Linked DNA regions of Diceros bicornis minor. The protein of the gene in region 4 interacts with the protein of the main gene of each other region in a pairwise test. Links are inferred from orthologs where the notes say so. Each region holds a gene or a part of one and is shown on either strand. Other genes may lie near its edges. The genes, in order: ARR3, POLI, AP2M1 and DVL2.

What was found.
Region 1: the proteins of DVL2 (region 4) and ARR3 interact in a two-hybrid assay, tested with the Homo sapiens proteins (2 studies listed by BioGRID and IntAct). The two-hybrid records come from large-scale screens. The link is inferred for Diceros bicornis minor from reciprocal best matches to the Homo sapiens genes DVL2 and ARR3.
Region 2: the proteins of DVL2 (region 4) and POLI interact in a two-hybrid assay, tested with the Homo sapiens proteins (2 studies listed by BioGRID and IntAct). The two-hybrid records come from large-scale screens. The link is inferred for Diceros bicornis minor from reciprocal best matches to the Homo sapiens genes DVL2 and POLI.
Region 3: the proteins of DVL2 (region 4) and AP2M1 interact in a two-hybrid assay, tested with the Homo sapiens proteins (2 studies listed by BioGRID and IntAct). The two-hybrid records come from large-scale screens. The link is inferred for Diceros bicornis minor from reciprocal best matches to the Homo sapiens genes DVL2 and AP2M1.

Annotation. Positions count from the first base shown.
Region 1 is NC_080781.1:63,647,869-63,655,281, forward strand, and holds the start of ARR3 (arrestin-C), read left to right. Parts: upstream 1-4,408; 5' UTR 4,409-4,410; coding exon 4,411-4,602; intron 4,603-4,723; coding exon 4,724-4,783; intron 4,784-4,966; coding exon 4,967-5,034; intron 5,035-5,689; coding exon 5,690-5,825; intron 5,826-6,014; coding exon 6,015-6,099; intron 6,100-6,360; coding exon 6,361-6,433; intron 6,434-6,825; coding exon 6,826-6,963; intron 6,964-7,413. UniProt on the Homo sapiens protein: May play a role in an as yet undefined retina-specific signal transduction. Could bind to photoactivated-phosphorylated red/green opsins.
Region 2 is NC_080755.1:46,122,858-46,130,664, forward strand, and holds the start of POLI (DNA polymerase iota), read left to right. Parts: upstream 1-4,800; coding exon 4,801-4,939; intron 4,940-4,945; exon of another isoform or gene 4,946-5,118; intron 5,119-6,311; coding exon 6,312-6,434; intron 6,435-7,807. UniProt on the Homo sapiens protein: Error-prone DNA polymerase specifically involved in DNA repair. Plays an important role in translesion synthesis, where the normal high-fidelity DNA polymerases cannot proceed and DNA synthesis stalls. Favors Hoogsteen base-pairing in the active site.
Region 3 is NC_080754.1:39,500,178-39,507,035, reverse strand, and holds the start of AP2M1 (AP-2 complex subunit mu), read left to right. Parts: upstream 1-3,853; 5' UTR 3,854-3,955; intron 3,956-5,963; 5' UTR 5,964-6,006; coding exon 6,007-6,080; intron 6,081-6,858.
Region 4 is NC_080757.1:11,049,215-11,056,351, forward strand, and holds the start of DVL2 (segment polarity protein dishevelled homolog DVL-2), read left to right. Parts: upstream 1-4,130; 5' UTR 4,131-4,348; coding exon 4,349-4,542; intron 4,543-6,812; coding exon 6,813-6,882; intron 6,883-7,137. Other genes in the region: PHF23 (PHD finger protein 23), read left to right, coding at 994-1,025, 1,193-1,285, 1,837-2,686, 2,790-3,004.

The DNA.
Region 1 (7,413 bases), on a different chromosome or scaffold from region 4:
TAGATATTGTGGAATAAAATCGCCTTAACCTCTCAGAATAAACAGTGTGGGTAAGGAGTCCAACTAGTTTTAAATACCAGAAGAACTCTGGGGTATAGCCAGTAAATTAAACAACTTATTTAAGACTCTCAATTACTCTGTATTTCTAAAACCTAAATCATTTTTTCACATTCCTACAAAACCTTCAGAATAATCTACAGAAAGAAATCTTTAGTTTAAAAATTGCATGTTGATCCAGGAGTAAGATATGTTTTTTCCTTTTATCCTAATCTTCCTTGTCCTTTAGCAGAGTTTTATATTATCATTTGACTTGCGTATATTTCTTAAATTTATTCCTTAGCCATTTTATACGTTTTGTTACTTTTATAAAGATAATCTTATACGCACCATATTTTCTAATATTTTTTTTTCTATCGAGGTGCATGTATTGATGTAAAATATAACTTACCCTATACCATTGAGTGATAAAGGCCAATTGTAGGGCAGGATGTGTGGTTGCGTGAATAAAGTGTTGTATAACAAAAATCTATCTGGAATCTCTCGGTATTATTTCTTACAACTGCATGTGAATCTATGACGATCTCAAAATAAAAAGTTTAATTTTGGGCCGGCCCGAAGCTTAGCTGTTAAGTGCGCGCGCTCCGCTGCTGGCGGCCCAGGTTGGGATCCTGGGCGCGCACCAACGCACTGCTTGTCCGGCCATGCTGAGGCCGCATCCCACATACAGCAACTAGAAGGATGTACAACTATGACATAGAACTATCTACTGGGTCTTTGGGGAAGAAAAAAGGAGGAGGATTGGCAATAGATGTTAGCTCAGAGTCGGTCTTCCTCAGCAAAAAGAGGAGGATTAGCATGGATGTTAGCTCAGGGCTGATCTTCCTCACAAAAAAAAAAAAGTTTAATTTCAAAACAGCAATGAGAGAGAAGTCGTAAATACCTAAGGTGGCCTTATGTTTGATTATAGAAACAAACAAAGTTGGGAAGCAAATGCAACAGATATTAATAGCAGTTATGTCTCGAATAGGATGTATAATGCTGGAGCTTTGATTTATCTTTTTGTTTGTATTTTCTGATTTTCAAACAATTAATAAGTATTATTTGTATAATAAACACAAATATAAATAACTTTAGAATAGATGTTGAATTAAAAAAAACAAGCTATTTCCTAGCACAAAAAAGGATGATTCTAAACTGCTAGAGAGCCAATAAGATCTTGGGCGGGGGGTGATGCCCTCCCCACATGCGAACAGCTGGATGTGCCAAAAACAATTCATCTGATTAACCCCCTCACCTCAGAGGTTACTGTATACCCTTCTGCCTCACCCCTCCTGATCTTTTTCTGTCTTATCCCTCATCTCTTTCATTTCTTTCCTCCCTCTGCTTCCTTCCAGCCACCTCTTTTCCTCTCCTTTTCATCTTCGCTGTCTTTTCCTTTCCTTTGTCCCTTTCCTTTTCCTTTTCTTTCTCTCTCCCTCTCCCACTTTAATTGGCCATAATTGAGAACCAAGGTGAATTTATTTGTTGTATCTTTTGAAAATTGTTAAGTTTGCCTTCACTGCAGAAAAATTAGAAAATACAGATGAAGGAGAAAGAGACTGTAATCCTATCACTCAGAGATAATCATTAATAATATTTTAGTTCATATTTTCTGTGCAAAACTATATTTTTATTTAAAAAATGCTATACTATAAATAATGTTTTCTAATCTTCTGTTTCTTCTATGTCAATATATAAAAATCTGTGAATTTTTAAGTTGCCTAGTACTATATTGTATGGGTGTACTGTAACATATTTAGCCAATCTTCAACTGCTGGACATTTTTTGCTATCATAAACAACCCTGTAAAGTACATACTTGTATATATATCTTTTCATACTTGTCCAATTATTTCTTCAGACTACATGCCTAGAAAAGGAATGAATGGTCAAAGGGTAGTCACACATTTTTACAGCTTTCTATTGCCAAATTGCCCTCCAAAATGTACCAATTAACTCGCTCTCCTGCAGTGTATGAGGCTGCCCGTTGCCCCAGTCCTTATAAACACCACCACTATCATTACTTTCAGTCTTTGTTGTATCTTTTGAATATAGATTAATTTCTCTTGTTCTTAATTTTAAAAGCAGACAATCTGGCTGTTTGATATTTTCATCTCTTAAAAATACTAAAATAAGTTGCTTTCTAGTAGTGTGTAGCTGTTGGTAGTTTTCTTTTTTTTTGGGTCAGGGCTCCTGATAGAAATAAGATTCTCCACCCCTGTTCGACATCTTTCCTTCCCTCGATCTCTGTCACTCTGCCCTTGGCCAGGTATCCCTCTATGCCCCATCCCACACTCCACGAGTGCATTAAAGAGGCTTTCCATTTGCCCCGGATCTTAGGTACCAGCTGCAAAGTATGAGTTCACTTATAACTGGCCAATATTCCCACAATTATCATCATCATCCACATTTATAATTAGTTTACAATTTCCAAAGGGATTTCTTATACATCAGTTCCTCACAACCATCCTATGAGTTAAGTTGGGCACACACGAGTCTGGGCTTTGGAATCAGACAGGCCTGGGTTGAAATCCTGGGCCGTCACTTAACCGCCCTGAGCTCATTTTCTCTACCTGTAAAGTGGAGATAATAATACTTCAGAGGATTGTTTTGAGGTCTAAATAACATATATAGAGCTCTTAGTGCAGTCCTATTATTGACAGGTGAAATAACTGAGGCTCAGAGAACTCAAGAGATTTGTACAAGTCATATTCAAGCCCAGGTATCCTGACCCTAGAGAATTATGTAATGAATAGCCTCTACCCACCACCTAGCTTTAAAAAGAATTATAGCAACAAACTGAAGATTCCATGTGTCCTTCCCTAATCCCATTCCCCTTCCTCCCTCCCACCTCCTTCTCTCCTTGCCTCCACCCAGGTAACCATTAGCCTGAATTTGGTGTTTATTATTCTCATGATGCTTCTATACTTCGACTCCATATTTATATATCTGTGAGCAACTTTGGTATTCTTCCATATGCTTTTTTTTTTGCTGAGGAAGATTCACTCTGAGCTAACATCTGTGCCAATCTTCCTCTATTTTGTATGTGGGTCACCACCACAGCACGGCCACTGACAAGTGGTGTAGGTCCACACCCAGGAACTGAACCCAGGCCGCCCAAGCAGATAATGCCGAACTTAACCACTAGGCCACAGGGCCAGCCCCCTGTTCTATATGCTTTTAAACTTTATATACACGGTATCAGATTGTGCATATCATTCTGCACCTAGCTTTTTTACTCAATAGTTTTCGAGACTTAACCATGTTGATACGTGGAATTATAGTTCATTTATTTTAAACTCAGTTTAGTATTCCATTATATGACTATACCACAACTGTATTACCCATTCTCCTGTTGATAGACATTTAAATTATTTCCAATTTTATGCCATGACAAACCTTGATGCAATAGACATTCTCATATCGATCTCCTTATAAACATGAGCAAGAATTTCTCTAAATTCTCTTTAGGTCATAAGATATGAACAGATTCAGTTTTACTAGATAGTGCCAAACAGTTTTCCAAAGTGGTTGTACTAATGTATGCTTCCACCAGCAGTGTATAATGAACTCCTATTGCTACACATCTTTACCAACACTTAGTATTGTCAGACTTTGAAATTTTTGACAATCTGATGGGTGTGAAATGTTCTCTCATTGTCGTTTTAATTTGCATTTATCTGATTATTAATGAGAATGGACATGTTTTCATATCTTATTGGTCATTCTGTTTTGTACATCTGCAAAGAGGCTATCCATATTCTTTGCATCCCTTTTTTTTGTTGTTGTTTTGTTTTGTTTTTTGTTTTGTTTTTTTTTTTGCTGAGGAAGATTCGCCCTGAGCTAACATCTGTTGCCAATCTTCCTCTTTTTGCTTGAGGAAGACTCGTCCTGAGCTAACATCTGTGGCAGTCTTCCTCTATTTAGTATGTGGGTTGCTGCCACAGCTTGGCCACCGATGAGTGGTGTAGGTCCACGCCCGGGAACTAAACCCGAGCCACCAAAGCAGAGTGTGCCAAACTTAACCACTAGGCCATGCGGCCAGTCCCTTTGCACACTTTTATACTGGGACATTTTTATTCTTGATTTGTGGGAGTTCTTTATATATTATGAATGGTAACCTTTTGTTTGTTATATGTGTTGCCAATATTTTCTCCCAGGTGTTTGCTTGTTTCATTGTTTATAAAGACTCTTAATGTAAAGAAGTTTTAAATTTTACTGTAGTCAAATGTATTAATTCTTTTCTTTATGGCCATATTGTTTCGATCATATTACATTGTCTCTCTATGTCTTCCTATGAGCCATTTAAGACCTCCTTTTCTCCTCAGGCCTGACAGGTCACTCTCTTCCTCCTTTGCCTGCAGTGTTTGTCATGTTAACATGTGCCTTTCGCTATGGCCATGATGACTTGGATGTGATTGGTCTGACGTTCCGCAAAGATCTGTATGTACAGGTCCTGCAAGTGGTCCCAGCTGAGGCCACCAGCCCCCAGGGGCCCCTCACAGTCCTACAGGAGCGACTGCTGCACAAGCTGGGGGACAATGCCTACCCCTTTACTCTGCAGGTACTGACCCCAAGTCCTGGGCAAGGTTTCCAGGGAAGATTAAGAGAGGAAGCTAAAGAAAGAGAAGAGGGGAAAGGGGTCCCTATTTCTTCTGTTTGCTGACCTCCTTCTGATCTCCTAGATGGTTGTCAACCTGCCCTGTTCGGTGACACTGCAGCCAGATCCTGAAGATACAGGAAAGGTGAGGTCTGGGTTCTGAGAAAGAGGGATAGACGGTCAGCGCTGGGAGAAGGACAGAGGGACAAATGGACAAGATTGAAGAAATAGACAATTAAAGGATGAGGTCAGGCATTTCCTTATAGGCCCATGAAGAAGGGAGGGATAGTGTTAGAAATGAGCTCTCTTTGCCCCTGCCCCTTTGCAGGCCTGTGGGATTGACTTTGAAGTGAAAAGTTTCTGTGCTGAAAACCTGGAGGAGAAAATCTCCAAGAGGTATTCTTTGGTCCTCTCCAAAATCCCTGCCTCCAACCTGTGTCAGGAAATAGATCTTGTTCTCAGGACAGAAACAGTGCTACTTCTAACCTCCATAGCACCATCATTACCAACTCAGATGCCCAGTTCTGATTCCCCTCTGACTTCTCTTCTTTGCTCTAGGGCAAGGGTCAGCAAACTTTTCTGTAAAAGGACAAAAAATAAATATTTAGGCTTTGTGAGCCATACAGTTTCTGCTGTAACTACTCAACTCCGCCAGTGCAGTGCAAAAGCAGCCACAGATAGAATGTAAATGAATGAGCATAGCTGTGTTCCAATACAATTTTATTTATGGACACTGAAATTTGAGTTTTATGTAATTCCAAACATCATGAAATATTACTTTTCTTTGATTTTTTTCAACCATTTAAAAATGTAATAACCATTCTTAGCTCGCAGGCCATACAAGAACAGGCAGCAGGCCAGATTCGGCCAGTGAGCCATAGTTTGCTGACCCATGGTCTAGATCCCTACACTGAGGGTCTAGAGGAGTTCTCTGAGGGAGGCCTTCCTCTACCTCTAACGTCCAAGTAAAGACTGGGTTATGGTGTTGGCACGGGAAATGTCTGTGGGTCCCAAAGCAGACATTCTGGCTAACCCCTTGGCCTCTACTCAGAGACTCTGTGCGCCTGGTGATTCGGAAAATACAGTTTGCACCCCTGGAGCCAGGCCCTGGCCCCTCAGCCCAGACTGTCCGCCGCTTCCTTCTGTCAGCTCAGCCCCTACAACTCCAGGCCTGGATGGACAGGGAGGTTTGTGACCCCCCCACTCCCTGCCCCCTGCCCTACAACCCCTCTGAAACTCTTTCTTCACTGATTTTTCTACTTGGGTAGACAGGGATGGGAGCCAGGGTGGCAATAGTGCTAATGAAATAGGAATTCTAGGTCTTGACCTGGGCATTCTCCCTCCAACCTTGTGATGGGCCTCTCCTCCTGCTTCAGGTTCACTACCATGGCAAACCCATCTCTGTCAATGTTTCTATCAACAACTGCACCAACAAGGTCATAAAAAAAATCAAGATTTCAGGTGAGCTTCTTTTCCTATCCTCCTGCACCTGGTCCCAAATCCACAGGTCTTTTTTCAAAACTCTGCCCCACTTACCCAGTCTGCATTCATCTAGGATTTCCCTCCAATGCAGGCTTACCAAAATATGTGTCTCTGTCCATGAGCACATTTGAGTGCATCATGCATAGTGTGCCCATGTATAAGGTCACTTCTGAGGGCAGTGAGTTGGGGTCTTGAGGATGACTGACTGATTATAGTCATGTGCTTTTCCTGGCTGTTCAGTTGACCAGATCACAGATGTTGTCCTGTATTCACTAGACAAGTACACCAAGACTGTGTTCATTCAGGAGTTCACGTGAGCTGGTGCTGGGGCCGGGGTCAGAAGAACCAAGGGGTGGGGTGATGGGAAGAGGGCCAGGGGGCTGGAGGCAGAGGAAGGGATTGGAGAAAGAAGGAAGCAAGTAACAGCCCAGGACTGAAGAAAGTCAAGGTGAGGGCTGACATGGAGAAAGGGAGGGACTCCCAGGAGAACTAGAGGGAGGATCCACAAGAGGATCATCAAAATGCTGAGAGAGGGAAGGGGCAGAAGGATTTCCCACCAGAGTGAATGTTCCATTCTCCACAGTTAGACATGCCAGGTCTCTGGGATACTCCAGTATATTCATGAAATTATGCAAGATACTCTTGGGAATGAAAGTACCCTTAGTCGGCAAGCCTAGCCTAAGTTCTTCTCTTCTCCTTTCAAAGGGAAACTATAGCTGCTAACTCCAGCTTCTCCAAGAGCTTCACGGTAACCCCACTCCTGGATGCCAACTGCCAGAAACAGGGCCTGGCACTGGACGGCAAACTCAAGCATGGTGATACCAATCTGGCCTCCAGCACGATGTAAGCTCAAATGTAACTCCCCATTCTCTATCCCCAACACATTCTGCATGCTATATATACAGGTCTAAGGTTTCACCTTCAATGAAGCCTACCTACATTTTTAAAATGTCCCTAGGCTAGTGTTCAGAGATCCCTCCAGGCCTGAGGGCTAACAGTAAGCTAAATAATGCCCATGGGACCAATGGCAGGCTTAGGTCATAGGCAACAAGAAAGGAAAAAATGGGGCCGGCCCTGTGGCTTAGTGGTTGAGTGCACGCGCTCCGCTGCTGGCGGCACTGACGCACCGCTTCTCCAGCCACGCTGAGGCCGCGTCCCACATACAGCAACTAGAAGGATGTGCAACTACGACGTACAACTATCTACTGGGGCTTTGGGGAAAAAAAAGGAGGAGGATTGGCAATAGATGTTAGCTCAGAGCCGGTCTTCCTTAGCAAAAAGAGGAAGATTAGC
Region 2 (7,807 bases), on a different chromosome or scaffold from region 4:
CTGGCATGGATATTAGGTCAAGGTGAATCTTCTTCAGCAAAAAAAAAGATAAAGATAACATTCCTATAGAATTTTAGAAGGTTAAATTTGTCCTAGGGAAGGGGAGTATCAAACTCCTGAAGAAGGATAGAAAGACATTCACTGCAGCAAAAAATCAGAAACGTGTCCATCAATATGGAGCTGGTAAAACAATGCATCCATTAAAAAGAAGGCAGTAGATTTTTGTACATGGAAAAGAAATGATGATCAAGAGATACTAAGTGAAAAATATGGTGAAGAAGAGTCTGTATAGTATGATCCCACTCATGTGAATTAGAAATGATGATCACTATGTCTACCCTATATTAAGTATTATAAGAAGTCTGATGAAGTGTATCAATATATATTGTTAACAGTGGTTAACTCTGTTAACAGTGGCTATCTCAAGATGCAGTAGGGATTGTGGGGGGGTTTCACTTTATACCTTATCCCTGTTTGTCTTACTAGAATATCTTAAACAACGGATGAGAAGAAAAATTTCTTTTTATCAGAGGCACAAGCAGTACTTTCAGGATTAATAGGTACTTTAATGAAGTCTTTGAATCAACTTTAAGAAATAAGTCCTATAAATATAAATATTTTCCTTTATAGAGAGTTTACATTACACTCAGACCAGGAAAATGGAGATTATTGACTAAATTGAAATTATTAACATTTCCAAGATGACATTGCAACCATATTTATTCATTTCCTTCAAATTAACATCAAAAAGAAGTAAGTTTACAAAGGTTTTTCTATGTCATTTATTCAGCAATGCCTCTCACAATGATTTTCATAGCTTGATAGAGAAATAGATATAGAAATTTATTTGTGAAATAAAATAATTTTCTTCTTAAATTATGCTTTATGAAAAGACTGTCAAAGCATGGTCATCTCTAAGCACCAAGATTATACATTACGTCTATTTTCTTCTTACCTCCTGTCTATATTTTCCAAATTCTCCATAATAATCACGAATCACTTTTACAATCAGAAAAAGAGGTTTTTTAAAAAAATTGTTACATTAAAGTTAGGTGTCCATACATTTAACACAGTATATCTAATCCACGTCAATCTGCTTGCACTTTCTATATGACATCAAGTAGTTATCTTTTTCTCAATGACTGAACTTTGCAGACTTTATTTACAAACTGGGAGCAAATGACTTGTATTGTGATCAGATTAGTCCCCACCTCTCTCTATCCAAAATGACAAGGCAAAGTCCATTGAGCACACCCTGACAAGCAACATTTTAAATGTCGTTACTAAAATGACTATGCAGGCCTCTACAGAACCACAAAGAAAGGTCAAAGCAAAGAGAAGCTTACTGTTAGAAAAACTCCAGCCTGTTACACCTTCTCTTAGCCACAAACACATAGTACGCAGCAAATACTTTTAGGTTACACTGAGAAAGTTTGAAACTGCAGCTTTGGTGTGCATTGTGATGTGCAGAAAAAAGGGAGAGAAAAATAGGGGTTTCTTCATGACGACTGAAGTTTTTATGCAAAGGGTTTGAGATCCTTGGATGAAAGTTACTAAGTAAATACTGCATGACATGCACATTGTACAACAGCATATCATAATTATAGTTCGCTTTCAACCATCTGAAGCCTTTCGGTATTTTCTGGTTTTAGCTTCTAAGCCTTGTAAATTATTTCTGACTCATGAGCCTTTCACCCTAGGGGCAACTCACAAGCTCCATAAAAGTATGGATATTTTTCTTAAATCTCTTTTCCAGCAAATGCATTCATTTGCTGTTTAGCCTCAGAATGTACATTCCCACAGTGAAAAGCAACTAAATAATACTTGTCTTCCCCTTTTATATCCTCCTTTTTCTAAAAATGTCATATTTATAATTAAAAGCACATATCCGAAGACCAATTTTTTATTACAACTGAGGATCTTAAGCTGAGGAGGGAATTGGGAGCAGGATGGTGTAAATACTACTAGGCCAGAGTGCCCCAACCTTGGCCCAATCGGCACCTTGGGCTGGGTAATTCTTTGTTGTGAAGGGCTGTCCTGTGCATTGTAGGATGTTCAGCAATATCCCTGGCCTCTACCCACTAGACGCCAGTAGCGCAGAGCTCCAATCCTCCAGATATGACCACCAAAAGTGTCTCCAGACATTGCCAAATATCTCCTAGGGGACAAAATGGAAGACCAATTGAGAAGACCAAAGACGATATAAAACCAAACCCTTTGTGCCTTTGCCAATTCAAATTGTTCCTTTGATCCCATGATCAACCTCTACCTAACCTACCACCAGCCTAAAACACAGACAGTCACAAATGCCCTCACATTCTTCATGCCAAAGCCCTTAAACATTGTCTAGAGTTCTGCCTCTGAACCATATGTGGCCAACTTGGCTAGGAGGAGAGAAGCAGGCACTGGTAACTGTTTCCCACCCTTCACTGACATGGGTGTTCATGCTTATCACTTTTAATGTATGTAAATTCATAATGTCTTGACTTCTGAGGCTCTAAAATGGCCCCAGTTTCTTTATCTGCTAGCCACACTCTGCAACTTCATGCTCCCTCATGAATATTGTTTCAACCATAATTTAATTAAATATGTTTGTTCTACCTTGCAATTGTTTTTCTCATTTGGCACTTAAATATACAATATGATCCAGGCTCAAAATATTTATTTCCTGAAATTATCCTAGATTAGAGCCAATTAATTAAAACTGGGAGAGGGGATTTATAGAATTTAAAAAACCCAAAAAACAAAAAACGCTTTCTCTAATTCATCCCACAACAAAGCAACACATATTAGCTCATATAAATTTTCTTATTATGCCTCCTAATATAGTCAAGGGATGTTTATTCTTCCTGCTCCAGGTTGTCTGGTGTTTGAAGCACCAAGGAAAATGGGCAGAGGAAGTGATTTCCTCTACGGAAGAAACATTATTAATGAATTCTTCCCTATGGAAAACTCTGAAAAGTGGATCTATCATTACTAGATTTGTAATCTTGAGTAAGCACCTTAGTCTCTGCCGGCCTGTTTCACCTTTGGTAAAATGAGAATGGTGATACCTACCCTCTAGGGCATGTTGAATGAGATAATCTGTTTTAAGCTCTTAGCCCTGTGCCTGACATACAGGTGTTTAAGAAGTCATTTTCTATGCCACTTCCCTTTGTCCCCAGTACCGGTTAAATAATTTGTGAGGTTCAGTGCAAAATGGAAAGGAAGGGTCTCTTATTCAAAATTATTAAGAATTTCAAGACAACAGCAGAACATGAAGCCATGTCTGGGGCCCTTCTAAGCAGCTCTCTGTTATGGCGTAGGTTATACACTCATAAAGCCAGCCCGGCTTACTCCCCTAGGGTTTTCAAGGTTCTATTTGTCTATCCTTCTACTAAATTAAAAGCCACTCTTCAATTTCATAATTGACAGGGAAATAAATGCAACTAAAGAAGGCTTGATTATGTGTGTTGTTTTTCAATGCTGGCTCACTTTTACTCAAGCTGTTGAGTGTTAGTGAGCCCAGAGCTCTTATAAAGGAGCTGTTTTCATTTGCCATGGTATTGTAGAGGTGTGTATCATTCTCAACATGGAGGAATCAAAAAAAATACTTTAGTTGTCTACAAGTAATTGGACCCTTGAAGATAGGCCAAGAGGCACTTAGTGGCCAAAGAGGTACTTAATTCAAAAGGTCAAAAGCTCTTTATCTAGACTTATCAAACAGCATTCACAAAGAAAGCAGCATTGTTCTAAATCGCTGTTTTAGATCCTAGACTGGACACTTTTGGGGAACTGGTCCAGATGTCTAAGTGTAAAATACCCAAAGAGGAAGACTTGGTCTCCAAACCACTGAGCCCCAGGTCTGCCTGTTATTCCCTCTCCTTTATGGATGCATCAACATGTCCTTTAAAGGATTTCTCAATGTTCTCACATCCTATTTATAAGAGCAGATCCTGTAAAAAAACAAAATGTGTGTGAATATATACATGTATACATATACATACACTGCCGCACCTCCAGGCACACAAGGTATCTTAACAGAAGGCAGAGATTTGACATTTATTAAGCACCTCCTATGTGCCAGGTGTTTTATATACACTGGAAGATTAGAGTATGTTTTCATCCATTCATTCATTTACTCTCAACACCCAAGACAGCTTTTTTTTTTTTTACAGTGGAGATACTGAGGCTCAGAGCAGTTATGTAACCTGCCCCAAATCACACAGTTAGTAAGCTGGAAGATCTGGACTGGAGATTTTATGACCTCAAAGCTCATATAATATCAAAATCCTATTCAGTTTAGATGATTAAAAATCAGGGGTCCAATTTGTCACAGTCTCTTTGAATCAAACAAACAAAATGCAACAAATTTCAACATACTTGCTAATCTTATTCGTGTATATGGCCGCCTTGCTCTTACCATAATTTTCACCCTTTCCCCCACTCCCACTACTATAAATCGCTCAGCATCTTACGGTTAGCAATTTTGCTAACAGTTGATCGGGAGAACAGGATGGCCTCTCAGCAAAGATTAAAGGTTAACTTTAATTCGTGGTCTGGAACTAACACCGAAGACCTCAGGAAAAAAACGAGCTGTTCGGAATGACAACTCCTCACTTCCGGCCTCGACTGCGCGGGAGGGAACTTGCGCACGTGAGTCCGAAGGATTCCCAGCCCGCGCCGCCCTCCGGGTAACTGGCTGGTCGGCCCGGACGGCGCAGGCGCCAGGGCCGGAGCGGCTGGGGCCGGTCGGCCCGCGGTTTCCCTGGAGACCGGGCGGAAGCGGCCGGAAACTGCGCTGCGGTTGGCCGCGGCTGGATGGAGACGCAGGGGGTGGAGCCTGAGGAGGAAGGCGGCCGCGACCAGGAAGAGGACGCGTCTCGGGCCATGGAGCGGTTGGAGGCGGGGGCAGCCGGCAGCTCGCCGGAGCCTGAGGAGTCCGACGATCTTCTTTGGTGTAAATGAGAAGGGCGGGGCGGGCGGACACCCAGGGCGGCGGCCGCGGCCGTTGGGGTGTGACGGGCCCCGCCCCCCTCGGTTCCTTTCCGTCGTCCGGGCTCCGTCGAGAGAGCTGCCCTTCATTAGTGTTTTGTGGCTAAGACCCCGAGCGGGACAGCTTCGCCTAGTAGGAATAGGGTGGGTGCGTCAGTGTGTTCGTGGAGGGTGCATCTGTGGTGCCTTAGACCGCCCAGTGAAAGCCTAAGAAGCTCCCGGGCGGGTTAAGGTGCAGAAATGGAGAACCTTGTCGCCCTCCCGGCACAGGTTGGGGCCTGGCCTCAGCCCGCGCTGGAAGAAATGGCTCGGAACCGAGGACGAGGCACGTCTGCAGTGGCCGCCTCTGCGGTGACCCACTTCCAGCCCGTGGGCTCTACTTTGTACCACCCAACCCCAGCGCCTGGGGCCGGGGCTCTGCTTTCCTGCACTTTTTTTTTTTTTTAATTGGAATAATTTTAGGTTTAGGGGTAGCTTTTCCTAACGTTAATAATCTTACAACACCACGGTACATTTGTTAAAACTAAGAAATTAACGTTGGCATAATACTGTTAACTAAAGTGCCAGCTTTATTCAGATTTTACCAGTTTTTTCCACTGATTTTTTTACTGTTCCAGGATCCAAACCAGAATACCACATTGCATTTAGCCTGCCTTGTTAACTGGTGTTAAGAGCTGGAATCCTCTCTGTCAACCCCTCGCCCCGCCATGGCATGAACTACTTTTAAAATCCAAGAAATATTTACTTATTCTTTCAATTTAGCGAATATTTATTGGTAGTCTGTTGTATGCCAGACACTGTTCTAGGAACTGGGAATTAAGCGCTGAACCAGATAGTCCTGCTCTCATCTGAGAGCTATATACAGTCCCCTGGAACCCGTAGGTTCTGTCTTCTGCTGTTTTGTATTTCTGATTTTTTTTTTTTTTAAGCCTAAGGACATGCCGCTTAGAATAATTTTTGTTGGTTGAAATCAGCGTTTAAACTTGTCTGCCCCTTCCTATTTACTCTGAATTTTACTATAAACTTCTTGGTGGTAGGATTACCTCTTGCATCTTCCATTATTGATCAATTCCTGAAATTTATTACTATCCTGAGAAAAATACAGTGCACAAATAAATGCTAAATAAACAGGACTGAAGACCCTACTATAGATGGAGTTTCTCTCATGTTTGTAATTTTTAGATGCTTTGACACAAATAATAAATCCAGGAAAAAACTTTTAAAGTCACTCTGCATTCTTCTTTCTCAATTACCATGTTTTAAGGAATGGCCAGTTGCTCAGAGATGATAAACAGCCTGAATATATTTTTGTATTTTTTTGCACATTGTGCATGCAGTTCATGATCAGCTGGAGCCAGCAGGAAGTTCTTCATCCAGAGTCATAGTGCACGTGGATCTGGATTGCTTTTATGCACAAGTAGAAATGATCTCAAATCCGGAACTAAAGGGCAAACCTTTAGGTAATTCTAGTCATTGATAATATTTTCCTAGTATGATAGGATTAGCTACTCATTTATTGTTTATTATGTTCTGATTTATTAACCATACTAAGAAAGATTTGGAAGCAGTTCTTAAGGTGTTTTATGGATGATCTTTGCTTCACTACCAGGTGTAAACTTTATAAGGCTCATTTATTAAATGGTGAATTTGATGGAGGTAGTATGGCCAACTGAACAAATGAACAGAACCCATAATAAACTTGTAGTCTTTCTCAATGTGTGAAATTTTATAATCCTCTTATCTCAAAAACAGCCTCTTTTATAACATTTTAATGGAAGCTTTCAGCTGTCCTCCCATTTTGAAATTAACTCTTGAATTGTGTAATGTCTGACAAAATAGTTGGATTTTGAACAGGACCTTAAATATTAAGGCAAGCGTTCCATAAAAGCACAAGTATCTTTTTAAATAAAAGGCAGAGAAATTTTACGTTGAGGATTTACTTATTAGTATGTTAGCTTGTTTTAACATTTTTATTATATCTTAAATTGGAAAAGTAATTTAAATTTCCAAAAATTTCTTTTATGCGTGTAGTAAGGATTTATCTTTTAGTATAAGCTTCAAGAGCAATTTTGGTTCACCTGCTGCTACCCTCTTGTGCCTGGTTTGGTTCTGATAAATCCCAATTCAACCCAGCCTAGTTGATTTACTAAAGAACAAAGGGATGACTAGTTTTTGGTACACCAAGGTCAGTCTAGGATCTTTAAATTTACCTAAGGATGTCAAGGAGTTAGGATTAGGGGGCCTAAGTTTTCTCCTAAATGTGTTTCTAATTAGTAGCATTATAACACAAGGTGTTTTGTAGATAATGCTTAATAAAAAGATATTGTGTAATTAAGACTGAGGAATGAATGTGTATTGGGAAGTGAGGGATGTGATGATGAAAGTTTCTAGGAGAAAGCATATGTAGACTTTCATCTATACTCAATAAATATGACTACGTAACTTGGGCTGGTGAGATATAGTGGTGAGTCCATATAATTCAGCATTAAAAGACTACTTTTTTACTTAAGGACGTTACCAGTCTGACTTTTTATGTAGTTCACTGACAAATCTTAAATTACTTTTGACTCAATGTTCTATTTTTGGGCATAATCTGAAATCTTTATGTGAAATAATGTTTCTTTGTCTTGTTTATATTATCAAAATTTTAGAAACAAGTGTCTTACGTTAGGGGAATGGGCATAACATTTTTTTCCTTCTTGTTTGTGTTTTACATATTTTAAATGAGTTACTTTTATAGAGGTAAACAAGTAGTCAACTTGTGTAAAGAAAAAAGCAAATAATTTTAGCAATCTTAAGTCACTAGTAAACTAGAATTTGATCCAGTCTGTAG
Region 3 (6,858 bases), on a different chromosome or scaffold from region 4:
GGAAGGGAAATAAACGGAACTAAATCCAGGCGCGCTAACTGCTCGCTGGGCGCAGCGAGGGCGGGGTGCACCCACCGATCGCCACCGCAGCCCCTAACCTGCCCCCTGCCCCAGCTTGTCCCTCTGCCCACTAACCGCTGCGCGGGACTTCCCAGGGTCCTTCGTGTCCCTGGGAGCCGACTTGCTGGTGCTGCTCCTTACTTCCCTCTCCCCCGCACACACTTCAGGAGTCAACCCAGCGGTGCCCTTGAGGCCCTGCTCACCCCCTTGTCCCCTCCTTCTCCCCCTCAGTTCCCTTCCACCACTCATTCAGCGACATCCTCCCTCTATTAATCCCATCCCCTCGAGCATGTGTGCCAATCTCCTGACTTTTCCACACAATACTGACACCAAAAAAATACTTGCTTCATCTGCCTCTCCTCCTAAGTGTCCCCACCTGCTGCCTCAGTCCTGCAGCCCAGGGCTGGAGTCACCTCCAGTGACTATCCATGCTATCCCTGCCTGCGCTCAGCCCTTACCAAAAGCCCAGGAGGCCCCTCAAGTTGCCTGAGCTGCTAGTGGCTTCCAGAGAGCATCTCTACTCTCCCCTCCCCCCGACCCTGCCGCGCCCCTATGCCTGCCCTGTGTGCTGGTTCCTTCAGACCCCTAACCCTACTAACCAGCAGGCTCATCTCACCTCTGGGCCTGAAACATTTCTTTTCTTTCTTTTTTCCTCTCCTTATTTTTCCTGGGCCTGGAGCAGCCAAGAATTTCGGGCTGTTTGACTTTCTGTGACCCCCCGCGAGGGGAGGCCCTGCCTCCGAGGAGACCAGGACCCCTGCTTCAGGAGCTCCTCAGGGGATATCGGAGGATATTCAGCCCCCACACCCACACTTCAACATGCTGAGTCACTAGGCTTCTGTGAAGGTCCCCACACTCTCTTGCCCATGTATGGGAGACTCTGTTCCCCTTTCCAGAATATGATCTCTCTCTCTTTCTGTCTTTCACACACGTGCAAGCGTGCATGTACACACACACACACACACACACACACACACACACGTGCCTATGCAAGTTTGCTTAAGCCTCAGGGCTGGTCCCTGCCCAGAGGGCTGGACTCTCTCTCCCTGTCCTCTCCCAGGTCGTGGGGCTGGTCCCCTGACATCCCTCTCCCTTCCTTGTAGCCCTCAAGCCTCCCACATGTCTCCATCATCCTCCTACCTGGATAAAGCCCTTAAGCCAGGTCTCAGGCCAGGCTCAGCAGGGGACTCTCCGGCACCCCACACCCTTCCCTATTTTCACAATCACCATGATACCCCAGAGCAATGGTGGGCAAGGGGACTTCTGGAACTTCCAGACAGAATGCCAAATTTTATTATTTACCTTATTCTCCAATTTAAACAGAACATGACTTTCTCTTTAAGCCTCTTCTATAAATTCACCTGGCTCACCTAGGCTCTCATATTTTCAGGACTGGCTGTCAAGAGTGAGATGAAGTCCTAAACTCCAGGCTTTGGGGCAAACCAGGGTAGGGCATTTTGGCATTCATTCATTTATCAAATACTTCCTGGGGTTTCTGTTGAGTGAGGGCTGTGTTGGAAGTCTGACTCAGTCTTGCCTGCCTTCTGGAAGCTCTGGGTTTGCTGCCGGCCTGGATCATGGCCTCCTCTAGACACTACTAGGGCTGCCTCCTGTACTTCTCTTCCTTCTCTGACTCTACGTTGTCCAACTCTCTTGAGAATTCCTCCACTGTTGCTCATGCCTTCAGTGTCGGTGCTCCCAGTGTTCTATCTTCAGTCCACTTCTCTTTCCTCTCTATTTACTCCCCAAATGGTATCATCCATCCTCAACTGCCACTGATATGCTGGTGATTCCCAAATATATTATCTCCAGCCTCAACTTCCCTCCAATCTTTAGATCTGTATTATTATCACCCACTGGACAATCCAGGGACATGTCTACATGGATTCAACTCATTTCCCCACCAAGTGTGTTCCTCCTGAATTCCAATCCTGGGTACCTTCACCACACTACATAGGCTCACCAGCTAGAAACATTTATGGGCTTAAACTCCTTCCCATATCTTACTAGTCAGCGTATCATATCCATTCCACTCTAACAATCTTTCTTGAATTTGGCCCTTCTTTTCTCCTCTGCCTCTACTCTAGTTCACAGGAGCATGGGATTTGGAGTCAGGTGGTTCTGGGTTTGAATCCCAGCTCTACTACGTTTCGGTTGTGTGATAGGAGAGTTATTTATCTCTCTGAGCCTCAATTCCCTCATATGTAAAATGACGATAATAATACCTACCTCACAGGGTTGTTGTGAGGATTTAAATTAGATATTGTACGAAAAGTGCCTAGCACAGTGCCTGGCACACAGTAGAATAGGTGCTCAATAAATGGTAGCTATTATTATTATTATCATTATTATCACCATTATTTACTCTAAATTAGTAAGGGCTTAGGGTATGTATTGAAGATAAAGGGAGGAGTGAAGCCCTGAATGCTGGTTCAAGGATTAGAAGTGCCTGTATTTGGTCACTTAATGGCTTCCCACTGTGAACATGGTTTGAAGGAGACCAGATCTTCATCCTGCCACATCCTGGTTCCTGGTGGGAGGATGCTAGGTACAATATGGCTTGAAACCCATTTTGCTATTTCTTGCCCTTCCTTTCATGTCAGCTCAGCCCTGCCTAAGGAAGGCAGCAGGCTATATCTCCCTACAGAAAGAGAAGAGCCCACAAATTTTCTTCAGGTCCTGCAACAGCCACACAAGCCTTTCACGTTCAAGAGTTGGCTGTCTCCTCAGCTTGATTGTGGAGATTAACTCTGTTCATCAGAGTGGGGATTTCAAATCCCATGTCCAGTTAAATTTAACTTGCCAAAAGTTTTCTAAGCAACATATATGCCTGTCACTAGAAGGCACACAGGTCCTGGCCTTGAAGAGCTCACAGTCACGCAGGTATAGCTGAGGTGGAACACTGGGCATATTCTTGAAAAGCTTTAGCTAGTTTCTTCCAAGTACTTGCCTCCTTACTCCCTGCCTCTTAGCTTGGGTCTTGACCCCTGGGAAAAGGCTCATGTCTGGAACAAATAAGTGATGAAAAAAGCTTGGGAGAATCACAGGTGGTGTTAGACAGCAGTAAATTCAGCACAAACACTTCTACTGCCAAGTCTTGTGTTTGTGTGTCATGTGAGGACAGCTAGTCCTTGGACTCTGAAGACAGAAAAGTCCCCACAGCAATCAAAAGCTTAACAGTTGGGGGCTGGTAGGTGGTGTAGTGGTTAAGTTCATGCGCTCTGCTTGGGCAGCCCAGGGTTTGAGGGTTCAGATCTGGGTGTGGATCTACACACTGCTCATCAAGCCATACTGTGGCAGCTTGCCAGGTACAAAATAGAGAGGATTGGCACAGATGTTAGCTCAGGGACAATCCTCCTCAAGCAAAAAGAGGAAGATTGGCAACAGGTGTTAGCTCAAGGCCAATCTTCCTCACCAAAAAAAGAATGCTTAACAGTTTTGTTTCAACAAAGGCCACTAATCCTCTGAGACTCTCCGAAATACTAAAACAGGAAGAGGAGGGACGCCACACACTACAATTCCCAGACTGCTCAGAGGGGAAAATGAAGTGAGCGGACCAGCTACGCTGTGATGTGTATTTGGGGTAAGGCTAGATAAAGCCACTCCTACTCACTCCCAGGGCACTCCTACCCACCCCCCGAAGGTTCTCGAAGCCCGTCGGTAGTTGTAGTTCTGCTAAACCTAGAGAGCTTAAAATTGTAAGCGAGGAGGCCGAGGAGCCTGACGGGATTTGTAGTCTGCGCGGGAGGCAGATGCGCACGCGCAGCCGAGGCCGGGGCGGGGCCGCGGCACTGCGGTGAAAGCCGAGGCAGCGGGCAGGCGAGCAGGGGGCGGGCGGACATCTTGGGATCCAGAGAGTGGCCGGGCGGGCCGAGCAGAGGGCCGCGGACGCCAGGTGAGCTGGGGATCTGGCCTTACGGGGTGAAGGAGGACGCCTGCCCCGCTGCTCTGCATTGCGCTGCGCGGAAAGCTGCCCACACCCGGGAGTGGGCTCAGCCTTCAGATCCGGAGGGAGCTGACGGCGGGGCGGGAGCGCCCAGGGCGCGGTTGCAGCACGGGCGGGGAGCGGCGCCCTCCACCTGACCCGCCCTGCGCCTCCCGAGAGAGGGAGACCTACTGGAATCCTCCCAGAGCAGGGACGTCGCGCGGCGTTCCCCTCCCTGGGATCGTGACAGCCCCCTACCCCTCTGCGCCGCCTCCTCTCAGCGCAAGGACAATTCCCCCACTTCAGGACAGTGACACCCCCTTGTGCCGCCTCTTTGGACTCTGACAAGCCTCCACCCTGCGGCACCCCCTCCTCCCAGTAGAGTGACACCCCGTGGCTCTTCTTTCTCAGGCCTGCGACAGCCCCCGCACCCCGTGGAACCATCTTTTTCGGCGATATTTCCTCCCCAGGGTGAAAAGGCCGCCCACTTATGCCTCTACACCTGAACCCCAAAACAGGTTCCGTCTCCCCAGCTTTCCACCACTGTCAATCTCTCCCTGCCGTGTTTCCTCTTCAAGGCCTTGACCTTTGCCATACTGGAAGCTTTCTCCAGGTGCCCCCGCCAGCCTGTCGCTGCTTTGGGCTCACCTGAGCATAGGGCTTGGCTATTGCTGCCAGTCTTTTCCCTTAACTGAATATTCCATTCCAGTCCTGGGGCCCATCTCTGCTTCTCTTGTGCCCTGAGCTCCCCACCACTTGATACCTGTGAACTTGGTTCTTTCCCCCCGGCTCAACCTCCATTTTGCATTTCCTCTCCCAGCCTCTTTGCGACTGAGGGATGGGATGTGTCCACCACCTTGGGAGACCCCTCACTGCGCCTGGGAGACCTTGACGGCCACAGTAATAGACTTTATTTTCCAGTTTAGAAAAGTCTGCCAAACTCCCCGCCTGCGAACTTAATACCAGAGCTAATCCAAGAAATCTAGAACTAAATTAAAATTAACCCTTTTTCTCCTTGTAAACAATCTAAATGAGTTTGACCCAGATAATTTGCATAATTGAGGCATTCTGCCCCTTGCTTATAGGCTCTCAGGCCAGAAGTGAGTTATGTTGTGGGTCTGGAATCACAGAATTTCAGCTGGAAGGATCTCTTAATTTTAAGGACTTGCATTTCCCCCCACCCCCGACCCTCCTTATTTTTATTGTACTTGGGAGCTGAAAGGGAACCTCCCTTTTTGAAAGGGGAGTAGTCAAAAATAACTAATAAGTAGCTTGGGTCATTGAAGTGTAGTGGGCCAGGGCTGAGGCCTTTCTCCTCTGCTCTTTTGCCTGCTTATCTGATTGTCTGGGAGAGGTTGGAGCCACAGTCCTGGGTCCATGTCAGGGCCTAAGGCCTCCCTTCTCTCCTCCTCTCCCCACGCTCCACACCCTTTCCTGGAATGTTTAGGCTTCTGTGAATTAGGCTGGAGGTTCAGGCCCTGCCGCCTTTTCAGAAGGGTAGTGGAGCCTGAGAGACTGGGTGTTCCTAAAGCTGTGCCTGGGGGCCCCAGGCCTGAACCAGTTGGAGTAATTTCTACCGCCATTCCTGCAGCCGCAGGCAGGCCTTCGCAGTGACTCACTGGCTAGAGCCTGGGTGAGAGTCTGCACAGGAAAAGGAGAAAAGGATCCCTACTGAGTTCAGCTCTGCTCTGTGGAGAGGGGGAGGGGGCTACTCTCTGGGTTCAGCCCAGAAAAGGGAGGGTCAAAATGGCCTTAGAGTCCTGGGCTCCAGTCCCTCTCCCTTTCTTTCTCCCTTCCAGGATGGGATAAACAGGAACTGGAGCCTGGCTAAGGGGAGGGGCCTGCCTGGGAGGGCTGCAGGGTCACTTGCTGAAAGGTTGAGTCAGGAAAAAAGCCCAGCCACTGACCTGCACAGCCCCACAGGGGACGTTGGCAAGGCTTCTGAGGCCTTCCTTTACCCTGCCCCCGCCTGTCTTAGGTCTGTTCTCAGAGCGATGGGCTGCGGAGACTGAGCTGCCGCCATGATTGGAGGCTTATTCATCTATAATCACAAGGGGGAGGTGCTCATCTCCCGGGTCTACCGAGATGACATCGGGTGAGTCCCCTGGCTGAGCCAGCTGTGCCCCCACCCTCCTCAGCCCTCCTCCCCAGCATGTAGGACCAGGTCCCTACCAGAGGCTTGACTTGGACCACCCCTACGCCTTGCTGCATCCTGGAAGCTCAGCTAGTACAGTCTGGTTCCCATTAGGTCCGGTGGTGTTGGCTTGGCAGCCAGTTGCTGGCCGCTAGGTGGGACCTGTGGAAATGGCATGGCCCTCATAGTCTTAGGGACTCCTGTCCTTCCTGTCTTCTGTTTCCCTTAGTGATAGACCTGCTTGCTGGAGATGAATGCTTTTGCTTGGGCAGGTTGATACCTCCTTTGAGGAGGAGGGAGATCAGTCTCCAGTGGGTGGAGTTAGTGGCCAGGCTGGAGGTACTAATCCATCTAAGTCTTCTCATGGTGAGAGCCTTCACTGTATTCTCTTGAAAGCCTCTCCAGGCTGCCGAATCCTCTCCCACTCCCTTTCTCAGAAGGAGGCAGGCTGCTGACTCAGTTGTTTTCAGTTCCTCTGGGCTACTCCTGGAGGAGAGGTTGTGAGCAAGCCTGAGGCATTCTGCAGGTCACTGAGGGAAGGGCAGGGAGGCCATGCTACCCTTTCTGGCCTGTCAGAGTAGACCCAGAATAGTTCCTTGTTCTGGATCCCTCAGATCTTAACAAGGAGGCACAGCCTTACTTTGCCTTCTGCCCTACCCTGCATTCCACTGTTCTTACTGACTGAAAGGACATGGCCTAGCCTCAGCAGCTCTAATGAGATTAGGCTCTTCTGGTTCAT
Region 4 (7,137 bases):
CTGGGTAGTTGTAGGGGCGCTGGGGCGGGGTGGGGGGGTTAAGACTGGCGAGTTGCGGGGGGGGGGGTGTAGGTTTGGTCGGCGAGGGTTAGAGCCTGGGAGTTGCGGAGGGTGAGTGGGCAGCAGCGGGGCTTGCTGTGGGGGGAGAGAGTAGCTGGTTGGGCGGGGGGGGGTGTAGAGTTTAGGGGTCCGTAGCCTAGTGACTCGGTGGTGAGTACGGGGGCGGAGGGGGGGGCGGCGGCCGGAGAGAGCTCGAACAGGGCCCGGGGGCCCGACGGGGAGCCCGAGGAGCTCGAGACGGGGAGGGGCCAAAGCCCCGGATGGGGGCGGAGGGACGGCGAAATTGTGGGGAGCGCGGTATGGGGGGGGCAGGTGGGGCCGCGTCCGGGTTAGAGCTCTCTGGTCTGTCCCGGACGCGAAGTGGCGTTGGCTGTGTGTGCCTGTGTGTGTTTAGGTGGGGTGAGGGGCGCGCCGGGCCTCGTGCTCCGGTAGAAGGGGCCGGAGGGCGGGGAGCGGTTCAGCGTGGTCATCCTGGACCCTGAGGGCTGGCGGGCGGCGTGTGCGGTCTCGGAGGACCCGGGGCGGTAGAGCGCGGCCGGGTAGGAACTCCAGGCTCTGGGCGCGTGTGAAGGACAGGGGCAGGCGGCAGCCCTGGCTCGGTCCGGGGAGCGGTATGGCGGGGTGGGGCGCTAAGAGATCCGAGTCGACTGGAGTCTAGAGAAACCGTGAGTTGTGGGGGGGGGCGGGGCGCCAGGCCTCCGGTGGGGGGAAGGGGAGCGCTATAGCGAGGCCTGGGAGGGCGCCGCGCCCAGGCTCCGCCCCTCGCGGGGCGGAAGGGGGAGCAGGGGCGGGTCCAGCGCAGCTGGGGGCCTGCTGGCCTGGCTGAGGTACCTGGGAGAGAAGGGGGATCGCTTGGGACCTTCAAGGTTTAGAGGTGGGGTTTTACACCGACTCTTGCCTAGTGCCTTGACTCAGCTTTTATTGCTTTCACAGATCCACCTCCGACCCTTAAGCCAGAGACTCAGGTGAGGTTTCCCTTACCTTTGCAGCCTAGTATTACTGCCAGACCCCCTCCCCCACCTTTGTCCGTCTCTCTTTCCCTTCTACCTTTTCCACATTCCTCACTCCAGGGACTGTGCCTTTGGGAATGCCCCTCTTACACTCCATGTGATACATGTTTCCTTCCTTTCAGCCACCAGAGAAACGTCGGAGAACAATTGAGGATTTTAATAAGTTCTGCAGTTTTGTCTTGGCCTATGCTGGTTACATCCCCGCTAGCAAAGAGGTAGGGACAGGAGGACAAGTGATATGAAGGGGTGTCCTAGGACTATAGAGGCGCTGTTGAGTAAATGGGACTGTATTACTTTAAAGGAGAAACCTACCAGGAATTATAAGACTAGGAAAATTGGAAACTTGGGTGGGAAAACTAGTGTCTGGGGCGGAGATGGGGTTAATAAAGCTAGGTGACTTGAGCGGCAGTGAATGGTCTTGGGGTACTGTTAATGGAAGTTGCTTTTGGATAAATTTTAGGAAGCTGAAAATGGCAACAAAGGAGGCTGTACAAGAACAGAGCTAAAGAAGTATGGTTCTGGTGTGGGAGATAAAATGTTGTGAAAGCACTGGGCACTGGGGAGATCGCTAGAATTTGAGGGCAGAGGTAACATGGAAATGTTCAAGTGGAGATGTTGATGGGAATTGGGATGAGTACAGTGAGACTTGGTGGTTTTGACAGGATATTTTGGGGTAGATCTAGTTCTTGGTTTCTAATCTGGGTTTGTAGAGGGGCTGAGATGACACTGGGCTGCCTGCTGACCCTGGTCTCTTCCCCTTTTTAAGGAAAGTGACTGGCCAGCTTCCGGCTCCAGCTCTCCATTGCGAGGTGAGAGTGCAGCAGACAGTGATGGCTGGGACTCGGCCCCTTCAGATCTCCGAACCATCCAAACCTTTGTTAAGAAAGCAAAGTCATCCAAGAGAAGGGCGGCTCAAGCAGGTCCCACCCAGCCAGGACCCCCAAGGTCCACTTTCTCTCGCCTGCAGGCCCCTGACAGTGCCACCCTGCTTGAGAAGATGAAGCTCAAGGACTCTCTCTTTGATCTAGATGGGCCCAAAATGGCATCTCCACTGTCCCCCACATCCCTGACACATGCCTCCCGGCCCCCTGCTGCTCTCACCCCAGTGCCCCTTTCCCAGGGGGACCTCTCCCAGCCTCCTCGAAAGAAGGACCGAAAGAACCGAAAATTGGGGCCAGGAGCGGGTGCTGGCTTTGGGGTGCTTCGGAGGCCTCGGCCAGCCCCTGGGGATGGGGAAAAGAGGTCTCGAATCAAGAAGAGCAAGAAGCGGAAGTTGAAAAAAGCAGAGCGGGGGGATAGACTCCCACCTCCTGGTCCTCCCCGGGCACCCCCTAGTGATACAGACTCTGAAGAGGAGGAGGAGGAGGAGGAGGAGGAGGAGGAAGAGGAAGAGGAGGAAGAGATGGCAGCAATGGTAGGGGGTGAAGCCCCAGCCCCTGTGCTGCCAACACCCCCTGAGGCTCCCAGGCCCCCTGCCACAGTGCACCCTGAAGGAGCCCCTGCCACTGACAGTGAAAGCAAGGAGGTGGGCAGCACTGAAACAAGCCAAGATGGAGATGCCAGCTCCAGTGAAGGCGAGATGCGGGTCATGGATGAGGACATCATGGTAGAATCAGGTGAGAAGTTTGGGACACCCAAGGGCAGCTGGGAGGCTGGGTTTAGGGGTGTTGTGGATCCAAGAGCTCAGGCAGAACACCAAACAAACCTTCTTTTCCCCAGGTGATGACTCATGGGATCTGATCACATGTTACTGCCGAAAGCCCTTTGCAGGGCGGCCCATGATTGAGTGCAGCCTGTGTGGGACGTGGATCCACCTCTCCTGTGCTAAGATTAAGAAGACCAATGTCCCTGACTTCTTTTACTGCCAGAAATGCAAAGAACTGCGGCCAGAGGCCAGGCGGTTAGGGGGGCCTCCCAAATCTGGAGAGCCCTGACATCGCAGGCTCTAGGCTGGAACTTCTAAATGACATGACTTGGGAACTGAGCCTCAGGGTCCTCAAGCCTATCCCCTGGAGCTTGGATATTGTCCCACTTCAAGGCAGGAATTCCTAAGGGAGGCTGGTTTGGAAATGAGTTTCTCACATTCCTCCCCTACCCTTCCTTCCCACCTTGTGGACTTGAACTCGGACCCCTTACATTTGGGGGTGGGAAGCTGCCTGGGTCCCTAGACACTTAATCTCTGTCCCTTGGGCCTGCCACCTCTCACTTTCTGGGCCAGGGTTGGAATTGGGATGGAATGGGACAGTTGTCTATAAAACTCTAGTGTAAATATAGCACTCCCGTCCCTCATCTTTTCTTCTGTCTCACTCCCCATTTATTCTATACCGGTTGTATTTTTAATTTTGGACTTCCCCTTTTGGGCATGGCAGCTCAGAGGTGGAGTACCAACCAGAGCCTGGCCCGGCAGGAGGGAAAACAGAAGGGTGACGATTCTCTCACTCACCTCTTGTTTTTAATAATATTGGCCAGCTGTTTGTACAGACAGCCTGCGTGTTGTAAATAAAGCAGAGTGGGCTCTTTTGTGTTTATAGCCCTCACTGACTGTCCTGCTTGGGAGGGAGGCTTTGGAAAAGCTGGCAGAAGACTGGCTGGAGGAGGGGCTGAAACTGACCCCCCTTTCAAGTCCGAGGTGAAAACGACTCTCTGGCCTTAATTGGTTTTGCCCCACCTCGCCCCTGTGTAGGATCCCCACAATCTCCACCCCCCACCCCCCACAAGCTCGCTCCAGCGGATCAGACTTGCTCGGAGCTCCCCGCCCGAGCTGGGTAAAGCAGGGTGGGAATCAGTTGCCTGCTCCCTGAGGGCAGAGACCAGCTTAGCCACGGGACTGGGTGGACGCGGGTGGGGACACATTTGGGGGCGGGGCCGGTGCGGGCTGGGAGACCGTTGCTGAAGGCAGTGATCACGTGGCGGGGGCGCTAAGAGGAGCCGAGTGGTCACGTGACCGGGAGAGGGTCACGTGGCGGAGGGCGTTACGAAGAGCGCGAGGTGGGTCGGCTTGGGTCACGTGACATGGGGAGAGGTGGGCGGGGCACAGGAGGGGCGCTCGCGGCGTCTGCGGCGGTGGCGCGCGGCGGCGGCTGAGTCCGAGGCTTTGGGTCGCACCCCTTGGCCGCCCTCTCCTATCCCCTCGACCGCCGCCTTCTCTCTTGCACCGCTCTTGCACGGGGTCGGTCCTGTACGCGCTCGCGCGTCGGTTTTCGGGTGTGCGCAGGCGCGGCGGGAGCGATTAGCCCGCTTGGGTGGGCGGCGGAGCCCGGGAGCGCGCGGGCGAGACCATGGCGGGCAGCGGCGCGGGGGGCGGTGGTGTCGGGGAGACGAAGGTGATTTACCACCTGGATGAAGAGGAGACTCCCTACCTGGTGAAGATCCCTGTCCCCGCCGAGCGCATCACTCTCGGCGATTTCAAGAGCGTCTTGCAGCGGCCCGCGGGCGCTAAGTACTTTTTCAAGTCTATGGATCAGGATTTCGGGTGAGCCCGAGGCCTAGACTGGGACGGCTGGGGACTGTGCTGGAGTGGATTGGTCAATATTGAGGGGCATAGGTCCATTCTGGGCCATGCTGGGGATTTGTGGGCTATAGTGGAGTAGATTGTGCTATGCTGGGGTAGATTGGGTATCACAGGATGGACAAGGTTATGCTTGGACAGATTGAGGCGCACGGAGCTGTAGGAGGACATACTGGGCTATACTAAACCAGATTAGAGAAGATTAGGCTATATTGGAATAGAATGGGGCTCACTGGTTTATTTTGGGATGTTCTGGACTGTGCTGAGGTGGATTCATCTATCTTTTGGTAGTTCAGTGCATTCTGAGCAGTCCTTTAGCACACAGGCTATGTAGGGATATTGTGGAATCTCCTGACGTAGATAGGGCTATACTGGGGTAACTTAGGGCGCTCTTGCCTATGCTACGGCAGGCAGGATTGTTTTGGGACACTCTAGTCTGTAATAATGCAGAGTGTGCTGTATTGGGATGTTCTAGGCTGCCCTGGAGTAGATTAGGCTATCTTGGAGAAACTTGGGCCATTCTGGTCTCTACTGGGTTGTATTGGTTGATCTTAGTTTTTGTGGGGGCCTAGTTTTTATTGGGACACTCAGTAGAGGAGCAGACAGTCTGTTGGGGTCTCTGCTGGTACAGACAGCTGTATTGGGATATTCTAGTCTGTATTGGTGCAGACAGCTGCATGTGGAGACATTCTAGGATGTGCTAGACTAGATTGGGCTTTCCTGGGGTAATTTGGGACATTCTGGGCTAGACTGGGACTTTAAGTAATGCAGAGTAAGCCCTTTTGTGTCTATAGCCTTTGAGACTGAGCAGTCTCTGTCCTCAAGCTCAGCTTTGAAGGCAGGCTGGATTAGGCTGGGATTGCCTGGGTTCTAGGAGGGCTGAACAGACTGGGCTCTCCCTAGAAAGGTTGTTGGACGTTGGGGAAAGTGGTACTGTGTTGGGAGTTACCTTGGATTTAAATCAAGGTTCTTCTGTTTGTCAGCATTTTAATTTGGCATAATTTATTTAATTTTTGTGCTTTGATCTCATCTGTGAAATGGAGATCATCAAAGTAAAATGCCTACCACAGGTACCTGGCAAATGATAATTGTCATTATTAGTACTGAGTCTGACTAGTCTATAAGCCAGGTTTGTATCCCTGTGGTGATACAGAATAGAACAACTTGGCAGGCTGGACTATGATGAGACTGGATTATGTTGTGAAGAATACTACATTATGCTGAGGCAGATTAGTAGTGCCTGGGCTGTGTCGTCGCTTTGATAGCAAATGGGATTAAGTTGGCATGTATCCAGGCTCCTAGAACCATATTAGGCTAAAGGGTTAATCAGACAGTATGTCCTAATTCAAGAGTGAGGATGTATGAGAGTGTGTGTTCAGGGCAGAGATTTTCATAGCTTATATATTGAGTCCTTTAGTCAACAAATATTTGTTAATGCTTACCAAGTATCAGGTACTTTGCTGTGAGGCTGGGATGCAGTGTTGAACAGAATAGGCATTAATGATTAATGATTTCCGGTGGTAGTTGAGAAGAAGGGACAAGTCCAGTCCATCGCAAGGAACCCATGGGGCAAATGGTCCCCAGGGCTGGGCTTTGGGGTCTGTCAGGTGGAGCCGATTGCTTAGTGCAGAGTTTTGTGCCAGGTGAGGCACAGGGGAGTGGGAAGCCCGGCTTCCCCTCTCCTTGAGAGCTCTCGGCCTAGTGAAGAAGTACCATTCTTTGGTCTAATGGATATTTTTATTTAGGCAAAGACAGCACATTTGGACTGCCCTCTGGAAGTGAGTTAGAGAAAACTAAGGAAAGCATAAGAGTGGAGACTTACATGAGGACCAAAGCCTTTTTTGGGAAGGTGTGTGAGGAACAGGTTAGAGGTTGAGGGGAGGCTGCCTGCAAGGCTCCTAAGGTCAGATAGATATTTTGGGCAGCTGGGGTAACCTCATGGGATGGCCTTTGAAATTGGACTGAGAGGTTTGAATCAGACTCAAGGAAATCTTTGGAGCAGCGTTGAGCCCCTGAGGAGGAGCTGGGGAGAGAAGGAGAAATATGGAAAGGGAATCTTTTGGAGATTTCTTAGGTCTAAGAGTGACGTGTTTCGGTGTAACAGAAGAGGACTTGGACAGGGTGAGAGAAAATCCACATCCTTGAGCTGGATGAGGATTGGGAGAAACTTGAATGGGGATGGGAGTCGGGGGAGCTAGTCCAGTCTCACGGATTTTTATCCCTTCTCTCGGCAGGGTGGTGAAGGAAGAAATTTCAGATGACAATGCCCGCCTTCCCTGCTTCAACGGACGGGTGGTGTCCTGGGTAAGGGGCTCTGGCCCTGAGGCCCCAGTCCCTCCTGTGTTGCTAAGCTCCTCCACGCCTCAGTCTGTTCTGTAGCACTCCTCCTGCTCAGTTGTTGGAGGTCCTGGCTCTTTGCTTTCCTACCTGTCTGGAGAGCCAGCTGGAGCCTCTCAGCGTTCTCTTTATGAGGTCTCTTCTGCTTGCTACGGCTTTTTTGTGCTTTTCTCCAGGCTCTGTCAGACCCTGTCCCTTTTTCTAGTCCTTTTCGTTACTCCC